Tribolium castaneum: one gene and its partner. The protein of the gene in region 1 interacts with the protein of each later gene in a biochemical or structural test. Links are inferred from orthologs where the notes say so. Each region holds a gene or a part of one and is shown on either strand. Other genes may lie near its edges.

What was found.
Region 2: the proteins of N (region 1) and Su(H) form a complex in vitro, tested with the Drosophila melanogaster proteins (4 studies listed by BioGRID). The link is inferred for Tribolium castaneum from reciprocal best matches to the Drosophila melanogaster genes N and Su(H).

Annotation. Positions count from the first base shown.
Region 1 is NC_087400.1:108,554-116,296, forward strand, and holds part of N (notch), read right to left. Parts: intron 6,342-7,743; coding exon 6,159-6,341; intron 4,594-6,158; coding exon 4,050-4,593; intron 3,642-4,049; coding exon 2,878-3,641; intron 1,652-2,877; coding exon 1-1,651. UniProt on the Drosophila melanogaster protein: Essential signaling protein which has a major role in many developmental processes. Functions as a receptor for membrane-bound ligands Delta and Serrate to regulate cell-fate determination.
Region 2 is NC_087398.1:4,881,918-4,890,140, reverse strand, and holds Su(H) (suppressor of hairless protein), read left to right. Parts: upstream 1-3,282; 5' UTR 3,283-3,599; coding exon 3,600-4,445; intron 4,446-5,520; coding exon 5,521-6,198; 3' UTR 6,199-6,746; downstream 6,747-8,223. Other genes in the region: DNA excision repair protein ERCC-5 homolog, read right to left, coding at 1-195, 248-2,243, 2,303-2,478, 2,543-2,630. UniProt on the Drosophila melanogaster protein: Transcriptional regulator that plays a central role in Notch signaling, a signaling pathway involved in cell-cell communication that regulates a broad spectrum of cell-fate determinations.

The sequences.
Region 1 (7,743 bases):
TCATCACAGCGGCCGTTACCACGCTTAACTGGGCATTTGTTCTGGTTACATTGTTGCCGCTGTTTTTCCAAATCCTTGGCATAGTAACTAGTGGCGTCAAGGGTTGGTACCACTGCCCGGCCCAGACCACCGGGGAAACCCCTGTCGTAAATTTCACAATTTTTGCCCGTATGTTTAGGGGGACAATAACACGCATAATCGCCCAGTTTGTCCTGGCAAATGGCGTCCAAATGCTTACACGGGTTACTGTCACATTCGTTGATCGTGTCAATTTCACAGTTGGTACCATTGGTACCACTGGGACAGTCACAAATGTAACCGCCGCCATCTGAGATGCGACAAACACCACCATTTTGACAAGGATTCGAATCACAATCATAACCACTGAATTCGCAGTTTTTTCCGTAGAAACCTTCAGGACATGTGCATTTGTGCCCAGCATGGATTGTTGTACAAACACCGCCGTTTTGGCACGGCGAAGTCGCACAAAAGTTGACTTTACTTTCACAATGTCGGCCCATAAAGCCCAGTTTACAGTTACAATGATAGTCGTTTACTAGCTGGACGCAATCTAGAGTGCCGGCGTTTGAGCAAGGATTTGACAGACACTCATTAATGTCACCTTCACATCTTGGGCCAACAAAACCAGGCGGGCATTTGCATTCAAAACCGCCAACTTTGTCCAAACATGTACCGTTGTTATGGCACGCCCCTGGCCGACAATCGTCGACATTAATCTCACAAATGTAACCCAAAGTACCCGATGGACAACTACACGAAAAACTATTAACGAGATCGTGACAAGTGCCACCGTTTTGACACGGGTTCGGTTTGCAATCATCGACGTTTAGTTCGCAATTTTGGCCTTGGAAACCTTTGGGGCATTTACACGAGTAGGAACCAATCAAATCGAGACACGTGGCACCGTTTTGACACGGCGCCGAATCACATTCGTTGATTTCCGTCTGACAGTACGAACCACTATAACCATCCGAACAATGGCAACGGTGGGAATTCCCAATGTCCTCACATGTCCCATTATTACATAATTTTTTCAATGGTACAACTTTACGCAGTGCTGCATCTTTACAACTGACCATTTCCACATCACATACCTTCCCCGTCCAACCAACGCCGCACAAACACTGATATTGGTTTTTGTTTTGTACACAAGTCGCTTGATTTTCGCATGGATTCGTCGAACACCAATCAACATACTCCCCACAATCTTTACCCGTGTAACCATAGGGACAATGACACGTGTAATGCGTGGTATGGTCTTGACATGTAGCGCCATTTAAACACGGCGAACTGTCACATAGATTGATACGATTTTGGCAATTTGAGCCGGTAAAGCCCGGTTTACACGTACAAGTGTACGAATTTATACCATCAATGCATGTACCACCATTCATGCAACTAGTTTCCGTGCAATCTTCATCGTTCGTTTGACAATTAATGCCGGAGAAACCCAATGGACATGTGCACGTGTATGAATCGACGTACTGGTTGCAAGTTGCACCGTTTTGACACGGATTTGACAAACATTCGTCGATGTCAATGTCGCATTGTTTACCTTCGAAACCGTTCACACATAGACAGGTGTAATCGCCAATGTCGTCCAGGCAAGTGGCGCCATTTTGACACGGATCTGGAAATTTTAGATTAGGTGGCAATTGTCAAGTTCAACAGTTGGGCGGACTAGAAAAGTACACTCACAGAATCGGTCATAGACAGAACCGAACATTATCCCAAAGAAAATAGCTTTAAATATTATAAATGTTCGATTTTTTATTTTTCTGTTTTCTACATTTATTCTTTCTGTTCTTTTATTAATTACTGATTATTTTAAAACAAACCATGTTTTCAATTTAAAAAATGCCTGTTTCTAAAAAATAATTAATTAAAAGAAGACAAAAAAACAATAAAAAACAACAGAGAAAATAAAAAATACAATAAACAAAGCAAAAAAATAGTACTAAATTCTCTTTTCGTTTCAAAATTTCAAATGCTAGTTTCTGTTTAAATAAAAAAATGCATGCTTATTTTTCCATTAACTTCGAAAACTTTAAAATTTCAGACCATAGCCACTTAAAATCCAAATACCTAGGAAGCCATGACCACCTATAACAGCGCCCTCTGTTGAGCTAGTGCATTCCCCCCACCACTTTTCTGTTTTGTACAGTTCTGCGTTTAACATTTCTGTTAATGTATTTTTCTAGATCTATACTGTTCTGTTAATGTACAGGCTGTCCCAACGATCCGAAAAAGCTCCAAAGCTTGTTAATTATTAGAGATATTGACTTTCTTCTGCTCCATGTTTCTAAAGTATTACAGGATGTTCCAATATTAAAAAACCAGTAATTAAATTTTATTGCATTTTAATCTCAACTTGTATTAGTCGATTCGGCTTAGTTTTTGAAATAATTTGATTTTTTTGACATAAACACGTTTCATTTAAAAATTTATTACACAAAAACGGAGAAACGTAGAAAAGTAGGACTTTCACTAATTTAAAGGGAAAAGTTCAATCTTAAATCTGTTCTAATTGTTTGGCGTATTACAATTAGAAACAGAAAAAATAAGAACTTTGTCAAAAGTTGAATAACTTGAAAATGGAACACTCAATATTTTGTTCTTGCTTCTCAAACATTATTAAATTGTCTATCTAAAAAAAAGTTAATAATTAAAAGATAATTTCAGGAAATTTCATTTAAAACTTTTAAATTATTCAACAAAAAAATTAAGGTTGTTCCATTGTGTTGTAGCTAATTTTAGAAACACGCTGTAAACTTGAAAATAATTTTCGTAAAAAAAGTTTAATTTTCTAAGGACAGCCTGTATGTTTGTGGAGATGTACTGTAATTTTTTACTTACGTGAAGCACAATCATCCGTATTAATACTGCAGTCTTTTCCTTCATAACCCAGCGCACAAATGCAATGGTACGACCCATTGGTATTCTTACAAGTGGCGCCGTTTCGGCACGGTTTCGAAACCACACATTCATCGACGTCTTGATCGCAAAACCGCCCCGTATAACCCCCGCTACAAGTACACGCAAAATCCTTATAATTCGAACTTGGCGTACATTTCGCGTTATGCCGACACCGGTTCGGTGTACACGGATCCAACTTATCTTCGCACTTACGTCCAGTAAACGGCAATTCACACACACATTTATAATCATTGACTTGATCAATACACGTGCCACGATTTTTGCACGGATTAATCGCACAATCATCGATATTCGTTTCACAATTAATGCCAGTATAACCGGGTAAACATTCGCAAGTATAGGAGGCGAGATGATCGTGACAAATGCCACCGTGTTGACAGGGATTTGACGCGCATTCATCAATGTTGATTTCGCATTGTTTACCACTGTAACCTGGTAGACAATGACAGATGAATTGATTGACGCCATCCTCGCAACTGCCGCCATGTTTGCATGGATTTGAATTGCATTCGTCAACGTCACTAAGGCAACGAGCGTCATAGTAACCACGTGGGCATTCGCATCGAAAACCGTTTATCATGTCGATGCAAACGCCCCCATTGGCGCACGGGTTTGAAGCGCACTCATCTATGTCATTCTCGCAATGTTTGCCGGTGAATCCCGGAATACATTCGCAGTTATAACTGAAAAACAAACACAATTGGCATTACAGTTTCCTGTATTTACTCCATTAATTATTGTTAGTAAAACTACTTACTCCCTACTGTACGCATGTAAAAAAAAAATCAATCGGTTAGTGTATGTTATACACGGCGATTCTTTTAGGGCCTACATTAAAAACTTAAAAAAAATCACATTAGCCTTGAATTGTGACAATTGACAATTTTCTCAAACCTTAGGTTATCAAATTAAAAAAAAACATTCACTTATTGTAAAAAATTCAACGACATTTTAAATAAAATAAACTCCAGCAAATAAAAATTTTAACAAAAAATTGACATATAATTGTTTAAGTTCTAACTATATTAGAATAGAAGCATGAAAGTTTCTAATGTAGGTTTTGAAATAACCGGTTATAACCGTTGACTTACCTATTAATTCCATCGACACATCTTGCATTATTCCGACATGGGTTACTGTAACATTCATTGACGTTGATCTCGCAATTCGGTCCTGAAGTCCCGGCTTTACACAGGCATTGATAACCGTTGACTAAATCCTGACACAAGCCGCCATATTGGCACGGATTCGATTCGCATTCGTTGATTTGATATTGACACAGGTAACCGGTGTAACCGGGATGACACGTGCAACTGAAGGAATTTTCACCATCGAGACATTCGCCATGTTGGCATGGCGACGATTGACAATCATTGATGTTTGTTTCGCATGACAAACCGGTGAAACCTGGCGGACATTCGCACGTGTAACCGGCAATTGAATCATGACAAGTGCCACCATTTCGACAAGGCGATGAAACACAATCGTCGATATTGATTTGACAACGGGAACCGGTGAAACCGATTGCACAACTACATTTAAACGAATTGATGAGGTCATGACAGACACCGCCGTTAAGGCAGGGCTGATCTTTGCATTCGTCGATGTCAATTTCGCACTGGGTGCCGGTGAAACCTGCAAATTTTTTTAAGTTATTTTTCCCCATTTATGAAATTGATTTAACTTTGTCTTGTTTTATTTTGCGAAGAATAAAATTCTAGCTAATCAAATCGCTTTCAGATCCAAATTCAATTAAACCTCTAAAATCTAGTTTGTTTAAAAACAAAATTGTTCACGTTTCTTCCAAAGCAGACTACGCAAAAATGCTTATTTGCCATTTTGATCAGCATGTAAGATTCAATCATATCATATGATACACCGTTGGAATCAGGAATAAAAACACTTTTAAAAAATACAAACAGTGAATATGGCCAAAGTTGAGTATTGTAACTCGGACATCAAGTACGCCTTGGAAAATATGTCCTAGTTATTTTAATTTTCGATTGAAAAAATTAAAACAAAAATTACAAATTTTTTTGCAATAATTCAAAAACTAAAAATGACCCTGGAGACGAGTCGCTCATGTTGCAAAGTGGCGGGAATATTCGAAAATAAAATTCGCTTCGCCTCGCTCAACCATCTTATGAATTAAGTATAAACCTTTATGTATCGGTAACGGTTGTTGTGCAAGCCTTCTCTTGTAAACACGCCCAACCGCTTATGCTTTCACGATATCCATCCAACACAGCCTTCTTCGACTATTCGTATTTTTCTCCTCCCACGTTTCAAATCTCCGTCAACAATAAACGTTTTATAAAAGAATGAAGAAAAAAAATAGCCACGAATAATTACAATCAAATCTCATCACGCGACCTGTAATTGAATAAAACGCCGCTTAGATGATGAAGAGAATCCGCGTTCAATGACACACGAATTGTTGTTTCGTTTCGAAATTTATTTCATCGCGAGAGAGAAGCGCATCGAATTCATTTGCATAGTGGTTTTCAGTTTGCTCGAGATTCATTTTTATTTATTTATTTTATTTATTAACGATGATGATAATTGGCCTCATTCTCATATAATAACGGTGCGATCTTTTTCATCGCTTGAATAATGCATGCGTTTGAACGTAATTAAATTTTTTCGAAAAAACTATGTAAACGTTTCAAATGGGTCGTGTCATTTCATCGACCGGTTCTTCTAGCTTTAATTATCACCAAAGTGAGACATTTTTCTCAAAGAAACAACATTTTTTCAGGCATGACTTACGAGTTCGTATCCTATGCAAAACAAGAAAACTGTGCTTATTTCCGGTTAAACCTGATTTGTTATTACAAATTAATTAACCCTTTTTTCCCCGACCCGGACGAGTCGGCCCTGCCATCGTTGCCATAGAAATCTATACGTAACCATGGTTATAAACGATATTTCAGTGACAATTGACATTTGCACCAGTGGCGTAACATTAAAAATTTAAAACAAGAGCCAAGCTTGATCAATCCCGCCCATATCTCGTACCACCGTAGGCAAAAAGTCGTGTCGATACTGTTTGTAGCTCGCAAAAGCAGGTCGAAACACATCGTTCACATGCCTCCAAAGTTCATCTAATTATTACCGCGAGAAACGAAATCAAAATTGTCTCGATTCCAGTTCATGTCACCGTTAAAAACTACCAACAAAAAGTTTTACGTGTAACTCACCTGGCATACAAACGCAACGAAATGTTCCCGGATCATCCAAACAGGAGCCATCATTGTGGCATGGATGCGATTCGCATTCATTTACATTGGTCTCACAACGTGGTCCAGTGAAGCCTTGCGTGCAATTGCATGCGAAACTGCCGGGGGTGTTAACGCAGATTCCGTCGTGTTCGCATGGCGAACCTATAATACAAAAAATACAAGAAAAAAAAACTCAAAAAGCAGTGGCGTTCTTAACTATTAAATAATAACTATTTTATATGGTAGCGCTCAGCTCCGTTTGCGTGTGCGTCATCTGACATTTCTGTCACTACGTTTACATAGCAGGGGCATAGCGGTGACAAACTATCAAATATTTTTTGAGGTTACGAAGTGTTTAAATTATGAGTTGTTACAAAAAATACAGATTCACAAAACAAGAACTAATAAACGCAGAATCAAAAACCTAACGAAACGCAAATCACAAAACACAATAAACGAACAGAAAATACTTGCGATTAACACCGACAACACTTTCGACAACCATGCGATGACGTCTATAATTTACTGTCAATGTCAGTTTGACAAATTCGTGACACTTGATGGTGTTGTCGAAGTGCATATGTAAATTAATGTTCAAGGATACCACCCTTAGATACCCCTTAATTGTTTAAATTTGCATTGTTTTTGATAATTTTTTTACAGCTTTGTGTTGGTAATGAAAAAATGAAATTGATGACGCACACGCAAACCGAGCTGACCGCCACTATAGTTCCATTTTTTCATGGAATGGCTGCATAGTAATACATAGTTTTTGTTGCCATGGTAATTTGGTATTGTTACCACAGTACCAATAATTTTTGCGTCGGTACGCCACTGAGGTATTCAGGTGGCTGACGTTTCCCAATTAAAATTCAATTAATCAAGTTTTAATTTAATTTCTAATTAAATATCTGGATTCTAATCATCAGAGATACGATCGTAACACAAAAAAGTCCGGTCAGAAATTTATTCAATTTAAGAGATTCAAGATAAAAGTGATAAAAATGTAGTTTTTATTATGCGAAAAATTTTTAGTGCTAGGTTAAAAGGTTGTGGAAAATATGATCGATAAATTCCCCTAGAAATGGCAAACTTAACGCACGAATAAGTCCCAAAGATGCATCTTATACTGCAACCCTCGCGTTTTATTATTATTGTGTATGTGTGTGTTGGTATGTTGTAATTTTTCCCATCATTGTTCATTATGATCGGTTTCATTGTGAAACGACCACAAAAAATCCATCAGTGGCGTAGTGTTATTAGAGATATTCCAACAACCGGTCATTATCCCACAAGTGGAAATAACTTCTTAAATCATTACATAAATTGTAACACAAAGTCCATGAATAATATTTAGACTCGTATCAAGACTTTCTCTTCTTATTTCGCTGGAAGATCATTAATCTTCGCGCTAATCGATCGATTTATACCGAAATTTGAACGTAGGTGGCGTCAAAACCAAAAATTAATAAATTAAAACTCTGACATTGCAAAATAATTGTGTGTTTTTTTGTTCTTGGTCGATTTCTTAGATTCGTTGTGTATTTAAGACGGATTTCTTCGT
Region 2 (8,223 bases), on another chromosome or scaffold:
AGGTCCGGCCAGGAGCGGGCATTTTTCCCTTTATGACCCAATTTTTAAACTCTGCCAAACCCGAAATGAGTTGATTTTTCGGCGGAAAAGCGGCCAAAATTTCCAGAGCCGTCACTGGACCCACCCCAGTCAAGCCAGTGGTGTAGTCGCTCCCCACCAACATGGCCAGGAGGATCATTTGTTCCCTTGTCAATTCTGCAAAAATTAAAATAAAGAATAATTACTACAACAAGAAGCTAGACTGTACTGTAATGGTGCTGGATGTTGTCCGATTTAAACTCCATCACAACTTTGTTTTGGTTGAAAAAATTCTTGTAAACGGTTTTTCCCCCAAACAACCAAATGTCGCTATCGTCGGTTATGGTACCGTCCGTGAGACCAATCAGCTCCAGGAAAGCGCACTGAGCCTCGGCCTCCATGGGGGCTATAATGTAGGGCACCCCAAATAATTCCAGGAGTTCCTGGGCTTCTTGGAACATTTGTTCAGTGATGTTTCCCGCAGTTCTTTCTTTTGTTTGCTTCTCTACTAACAGTTCTGTTTGTTCCTTTCTTAAATTGTCTCTCATTTCGCTCAGTTGCTCAACTGTTAATTCAGTATTCGCTTTGTTTTCTTCATTTTCTTCATGAGGTTTCGTATATGCTTGGACCATCTTCTCGATCTTATCTTTGAGTGACTGACCTGACGGTCTCTCTTCAATTGGTTTTTCTTTCTCCACTTCTTTAAAAGCATCTTCAGTACTACTTGAAACCTCCGTTTTCTCTTCAACTTCCTCAAATACGTCCTTGAAGAGATCGTCTTCAATTTCTTCATCTGGCTTTATCACGACCTCCATAGCAATCTCTCCGTTGGTACTTTTCTTCTCCTTTTCTTCATCTACATCTACAAAGTCCTCATCGTTGCTAGAGGCAGAATCTGACATCACCTCAACTGTATCTTCACTGACGATAGAAGTGGTAACTTTATCTTCATCTAATTCCGCAATATCTTCAATACTGTCTTTGGTAATTTCACTACAAACATTTGTACTTCCAGTCTTGTCTGTTTCTTCTGTTATTTCTTCATTATCCTTAGTAATATCAGAACTACTACCAGTTTTATCTGCTTCCTCTTTGCTTTCTTCAGGTTCCTTAGCAATGCTACTAGAAATATCAGAACTACTACTGGCTTTATCTGTTTCTTCTTTCCTTTCTTCAGGTTCTTTAATAATGCTACTAGAAACACCAGAACTACTCTCTTCACTGACTTTCTTCATTGCTCCACTTTTACTGGCAATAATTTTGGCAATTTCGCTGGGAGTCAGCCCACTGTACTCCATCATGTATCTCTGAGCTGGTGTTAACTTCGTACGAATTACTTCTTCTTCTTCACTGGAGTCCGAATTTCCAAAATCAGCATCTTCAAGAAACGATAACGACAATCGTTTCTTCCCCCTAGAACTGGACGGTTCCTCCCGATTGTCTTTCGTTTTTGATGTCGACGGTTCCGCCTCCAAAGACAAGGCTATGGCCTTCTTCAAATCGTCTTCAAATTCTTGCTCCCCTTTATTCTTCACATTCTGTCCCTCGTCGCATTCTTCGCTTTCTTCAATCGTTGGTAAATCCTGCTTTTTGGCCTCCTCCACGGCCTGCTTGATGTCTTTGATTAAAAGAAACCGCGTGTTTTCGTCCGAAGCGATCCGACTGCCTTTCAAGTTCGTTATAACCCCCTGGTCTTTGAGCAATTTTTCCAGCTCGCCCAGCGATAGAGAATGGCCCCCCATTTCTTTTTCGACGTCTTCAAGGGCGGTTTGCACCGACTGCCTCTTCAAGAGTCGTTTCATTTGATAGGTGGAGAAGTTGTCACTTTGAGTGGGCATTTCGTGGATGCGCCCCCATGAAGACTGCTTCCGTGTGTCCTTCAAGTCGGAGAGGATTTCGTGCCGGACGTCGGCCGGTAGCGACTTGAATTCGGCACTTTCCGTGTCAATTGAATGCAAGTCGTATCGGGGAAGCCCCGAGTCTTCCGAATCCGAGTCACTTTGTGACAATGTGGAGTCGAGAGACTGGGACGGGGGCAAGGCGTAAAGCTCGTCATCGTCTTGTTTTGATTTTTTAGTGGGAGAAGTTGAGGCGGTTATTGCCGCTTTGGCTTTTTCGGACAAGACTTTGCTAATCGCGGTGTGTTTGACTAAGGCTGATAGGAGGTTTTTGTGGATGCGGTCCGCCTCGGACAAGGTTTTGGACTTTTGCTGGTTGCGTAACGCCTGGGAATTTGCGGGAAAATGCAACTGAGGTTATGTTTTTTTCTCATTATTTTACTCACTATGGTTTGTCTTTTGAGAACTGGGACGCCTCCGTCGAAGACAAACACCGGCTTGATTCTGAAATAGAGTAATTTGCATACTCTGTGGTAGATCCCCAGCAGGTGCGCATGGGGGACGGCGGCCCCCTTGGCGTCCTGGAACCCCTTGACGATTTGGTGCAACCAAATCGAGACATCTGTCAGATTGCGTTAAGGTTATAACCGATCAAGCGTGACGTTTGAAATGTCAATAAAGGATACCGACAGCTAACACTTTGTTTTCGAGAGATTCCAGAGGCACGGGTTTGCCGGAAGGCTCGATGAGCCTCCACAGACCGTGAACTCCCATAATATATTTTCTGGTAAATAATTCGAGGCGTCTGATGGAAAAAATTCCCACGGTCTGAGGCGGCGATGAACGACCGCGACACGAACGTCAGTCAGTTCCCATGATTTAGATGCGAAGAATCATCAAATCAGAGGAAAACAGACCTAATCTCGTCCAGCGGTCTGAATTACATCTCTCAGTATCAAATGTTTGAGAATCGCCGAGGCCACCCACTCTTTCCCACACCATGATTTTCCCACGCCCTGGCTGTAACCCCAACATCCTGCGGGAGGGCAGGGGGGCGGCGCTAAAGGCACCTTCACAAGGGAGGGGACCCATTCATAAACACGCGGCCAGTGGCGTGCGCCCAAACGCCAATAAAACCACCACATTCTTTTGTCAGGCAGCGGCGCCGCGAACTTCCTAATACTGCTATCTTTGTTAGAACTTTTTAGTTTTCTTCTTTTTAGAAATAAACATTATTTATAATAATAATTGGCACCTAATTAGATCAATTAGATTAGGTATCAAGGTAGAAAATCCCTCACTAGGATTAATCCTCCAGTGGCGTCTCGCCTCCGCCCCTGTTGTGTCATCCACTACCGTTTTACGCGTGTTAGGTGTAAACCCGCCTTAACGCTACCAAAATTACATAATTTTCAGCGACCGCCGCGCCCGCCCCGCCCGCCCCGCCCATGGCCCATGCAGACCCATCAGCCCATCTTGGGCCCTCTTGAGCGTTAAAAAATTCCAAGAACGCGTTAATTCGGGCACTTCCTGTGAAAACTCGCCTTTTGAAAGTTGGCCATCCTGTCGGAAAATCCTCTCTCCAAACAGGTGTTTTTCGAATGAGATACGGGGGGCAAAGGAGGGGGAAGCATGGCATTTGTTCTCACCGTGTGTTGCGGTAGCCGTGCGAAGAGTTGGCTGTGAGTGCATCGATAAAACAAACGCCAGTGCGATGCGGCCTACTTGATTAAGTGTTTCGAAATGCCCCATCAGTACGGATTGCCGGGCATAGCCCACGCTCAGTCGCCCCCGACGCCGCCGCCGCAGCACGGGGCCATGTACTCGCGGTTCTCGGGGGCGGTGGTGCCCGGGGGCTACCGCGGCGAGGACCGGCGGCTGACCCGGGAGGCCATGGAGCGGTATCTGCGGGACCGGTCCGACATGGTCATCGTGATTTTGCACGCCAAGGTGGCGCAGAAGTCCTACGGGAATGAGAAGAGGTTTTTCTGTCCGCCCCCTTGCATTTATCTGTTCGGGGACGGCTGGAGGCTGCGCCAGGAGCAGATGCTGCGGGAGGGCGAGTCCGAGCAGGCCTCGCAGTTATGCGCTTTCATAGGGATTGGGAACTCGGACCAGGACATGCAGCAGCTGGATTTGAATAATGGGAAGCAGTATTGTGCCGCGAAAACTCTCTACATCTCCGATTCGGACAAGAGGAAACACTTTATGTTGTCCGTGAAGATGTTCTACGGGTCGGGGCACGACATCGGGGTGTTTCATAGCAAAAGAATCAAAGTTATCTCGAAGCCTTCAAAGAAGAAACAATCGTTGAAAAACGCGGATTTGTGTATTGCGAGTGGTACCAAAGTGGCGCTTTTTAACAGACTTAGATCTCAGACTGTCTCCACGCGGTATCTGCACGTGGAAAATGGACATTTTCATGCCAGTTCCACACAGTGGGGTGCTTTCACTATACACTTGTTAGACGACAATGAATCTGAAAGTGAGGAGTTTCAAGTACGGGATGGGTACATTCATTACGGTTCTACAGTCAAACTGGTGTGTTCTGTCACCGGAATGGCCCTCCCGAGACTTATCATTCGAAAGGTACGTTTGAAAAAAACATCAACAAAAAATTGAGGTTATGATTCGGCAACATGTCAATCTTTATATTCCCCATAATTACGCAAAGGAACGCTCCCTGCAAGCAGTTACGGCCATACCATGACCGAATTCAGACAAAATAATGATTTTCCAGATGATTCATTGCACAAAATTCGATATTTCGATACAAATGTTGACCCAGCCCGTGATTGGCCCATTTGAGAACACATGTCGGTTCCCATCCTATCAAAACTCGCCGCTCACGCGGGCGATTCGAAGCCTATTTTGGGGAAAGAAAAACCTACTAAAATAATACAAACTATTGTAATTTTCAAGAAACACAAAATATTATGTTTTTTCAGCCATTAAAATTACAAATGTGCTTTCTTAATACTCATAATAATAATTAAATATTTCACCACGTCATTGACTTTCTTATGCTGGATGTTCAAGATTTTTTTTTTTGTCATAATTTCGTCCGCATATCATTTTTAATGCCTTTAAAAAGCATAACATGCCTCTCGACAACATCAGATTTCTCCCTAGTCTTCCTACGCTAATTACGAATAAACTCTTAATACTCTTTTTCACCGACCTCATCAGAAAATATCGTAAAGAAAGAAAGCTAATTTCTCGCCAAAATGTCAGAAGAAGCCCCAAATCTTTATTTTGTTTCTACATTTGGTGATTCTCTACTACGCTCTGCAGGACTTGGAATCCGCCGATTTTGAGACACCTTGTATTTATTCTTTATCTTACTTACACTTTAAGGAACCCGTTGAAATACAGCTACATTATTATTAGAATTATTTAAGTTGTGTATAATTTGACAGTTCTCCAGTTACGATTTATCTTTACTTGGTCAAGTATTAATTGAAAAAATTGTGATTGAAACTTCCTATAATTCCTGACGGTATTTTTTTTATTTTCCACTTTTTTACGTTTGTACAGGTCATCGTATTGCAAATTTTTAACGTATTGTAATATAATTGTTCTCTTCTCTTTGTGGCGTCTTTTTTTGTTTCGTAGTTTGTGTTTTTTGGTTCAATTTTGTAAAGCGTTTGTTGTTTTGGTCCAGGTGGACAAGCAGCAGGCGCTCCTCGAAGCCGACGACCCCGTGTCCCAGCTGCACAAATGCGCCTTTTACATGAAAGACACCGAACGCATGTACCTCTGCCTCTCCCAAGAGCGCATCATCCAGTTCCAGGCCACCCCTTGCCCCAAAGAGCCCAACAAGGAGATGATCAACGACGGCGCCTGCTGGACCATCATCTCCACCGACAAGGCCGAGTACCAGTTCTACGAGGGCATGGGCCCCGTGCGCTCCCCCGTGACCCCCGTGCCCATCGTGCACAGCCTGCACTTGAACGGCGGCGGCGAAGTGGCGATGCTGGAGCTCACGGGCGACAACTTCTCGCCGTCCCTGCAGGTGTGGTTCGGGGACGTGGAGGCCGAGACCATGTACCGGTGCCAGGAGTCCATGCTGTGCGTGGTCCCGGACATCTCGCAGTTCCGGGGCGAGTGGCTGTGGGTGCGGCAGCCGACCCAGGTCCCGGTCTCCTTGGTGCGGAACGACGGGATTATCTATGCCACGGGGTTGACGTTCACGTATACGCCGGAGCCGGGGCCCCGACCGCAGTGTTTGCCTGCGGACGAGATCATGAGGCATGGGCAGAGGAGCGCGGCGGCGGCGCAGGGGCAGAGCCAGGCGCTGACGCAGGAGGCGGCGTGGAACTCGCACGGAGGGATGCATTAGGGGGTGGGTAGGTAGATGCAATAAAGTTAGGTAGGGTGTACAACGACCATTGTGTTTTTTCTCGAGTGGACACTCAGTATTAAATTTTGAGATTGGAAGTGGCACGAGTCTTCTGTATTATGATTTATTGTGATATGTTTTTTGAGTAGGCGGTCGTAGAGAAGCAAAAGTTGGTATCAATTTTTCCTTATTTTTTAATTGATGCAGTTGACCGGCCTAAGACTTGTAGGATGTGTTTCTACAGCGGTGTAAAGAGATACTTAGCCTTATGAACAAACCAAAGTTATGTAAGTTTTCTAATTGTCAGTCAGAATGAATAGTCCAACAATTTTTACTTAGTATTAAGTAAATTATGCTCAATTTGCCGATGAATAATAAATAATAGGTAATAAAAAATCTCGACAGGAAAACATGACAACAACGAATTTATGGCAAATGTAATGAGTGTAAATATCTTTATTAGAATTAGTTTTATTCTACGTAAAATAATACATAAACAAACTGTACATGCTGCATATTTTGTAGAAATAAAAACTATTTGAATAATATCACCATTCTTCAAACCCCTAACAGAAAAAAAATCACAGTGAGTACGGAAGGCCTTCCGCATTTTCACATCCATTCAAGTCAGTTCTCACGACAAAATCTCATTTTCTTGAAAATGATTATTCATACATGTGGGAATTCGGGTCTTAACAATGGTATTATTTTTAATAATTGCTTTTCCTACTGTATATTAATTAGTCGGTCCCATTCCCACAATTGAGGTGGGAATTCTCATCTCATTTGATTCTTAAACTTCTGTTTGCTCATGTAAGTGAGGGAGATATAGGGGGTCACAAGGTCGCCCAAGTTATAGCTAAGGGAGGTTTCGCAAGGAGTCTCTGACGATGGTTTTGTGGCAGTATGTGTTGCCCGAAGGGCTGGGTGACGAGGATTTTCTAAGACGCAGTTCGATTAATTGGCGATGTTAATTAAGTAAATAATTGAGTTAAGCAGTTAATGAATGAACATGCAGCAATAACAGGAAATCATATAATCATGAAAATGCTCTTGATGGCTTCACATAATAACATACGTGAGAATCCAAAGGCTATTGTTGAGACGGTGAGGTTTATTAATGGGTTGATTATCTGATTAGACGAATGAGGGAAATTGGAGGATTAAAAGTAAATCGGCGTTTGTGTAATTTTGCAATTTGCTCATTAGTGACACAAAAGAATTATAAATAAAATAGTAACTCGTATGATGAAAAGATAAACAAATAAAATCGTATTTTCTTGTAAAAAAATTGAGGCAGTAAAGTACCGTTTACTAGAGAAACTAAGGTCCTATGATTTTTTTTAATTAAGTAAAGACTTACAGATAAAAACTATAAAAAATGTGGAGAATAAATTCAGGAAAATAAAATGTACGAAATCAAAGAACAGTGCAAGATGCAACAACAGCTAAATAAAATTTGTAAAACGATTTAAGCTGAGGGACGATTTATTCTAAGATCGATTGCAAATAGTAGTTTGATTTTAATTTGGATATTATGTCAGCGAGAGAAAGCGATTATTCAGTTTTTTATTTTAATTTCGTAAAAACATTATAACATAACTATGAAACTAAATTTAAGAATATTTGTTCACTGAAATAAAAAAATGCTTATAAAATAAATCGAGAATTGTCCATTAGAATAGGTCGTGTAAAGCTGAGCGCATACAAAAAAAATCTCTTATAAAGCTGGAATTATTTTTGCGCCTTTATATTTTTTTACTTAAAGAGAAAACAAGAAATAAATTTCATACTGAAACAATAAAATCGTTAGAAGAATTTTTCCCAGCCCATTAAACCGAATCTTAATATAAAAATAATTACTTGTGGGAAATATTCTAATGCTACTTTTTTATTTTTATAACATATTTTACACAAAGAACCGTAAAAAACTCATCAAACAAAAAATGCAGATTTTGTCATTTGTGCGCCTGTTTCTAGACATTTCCATTCAGTAAATGAGGCATTTTTTCTGCTTGTAGATCG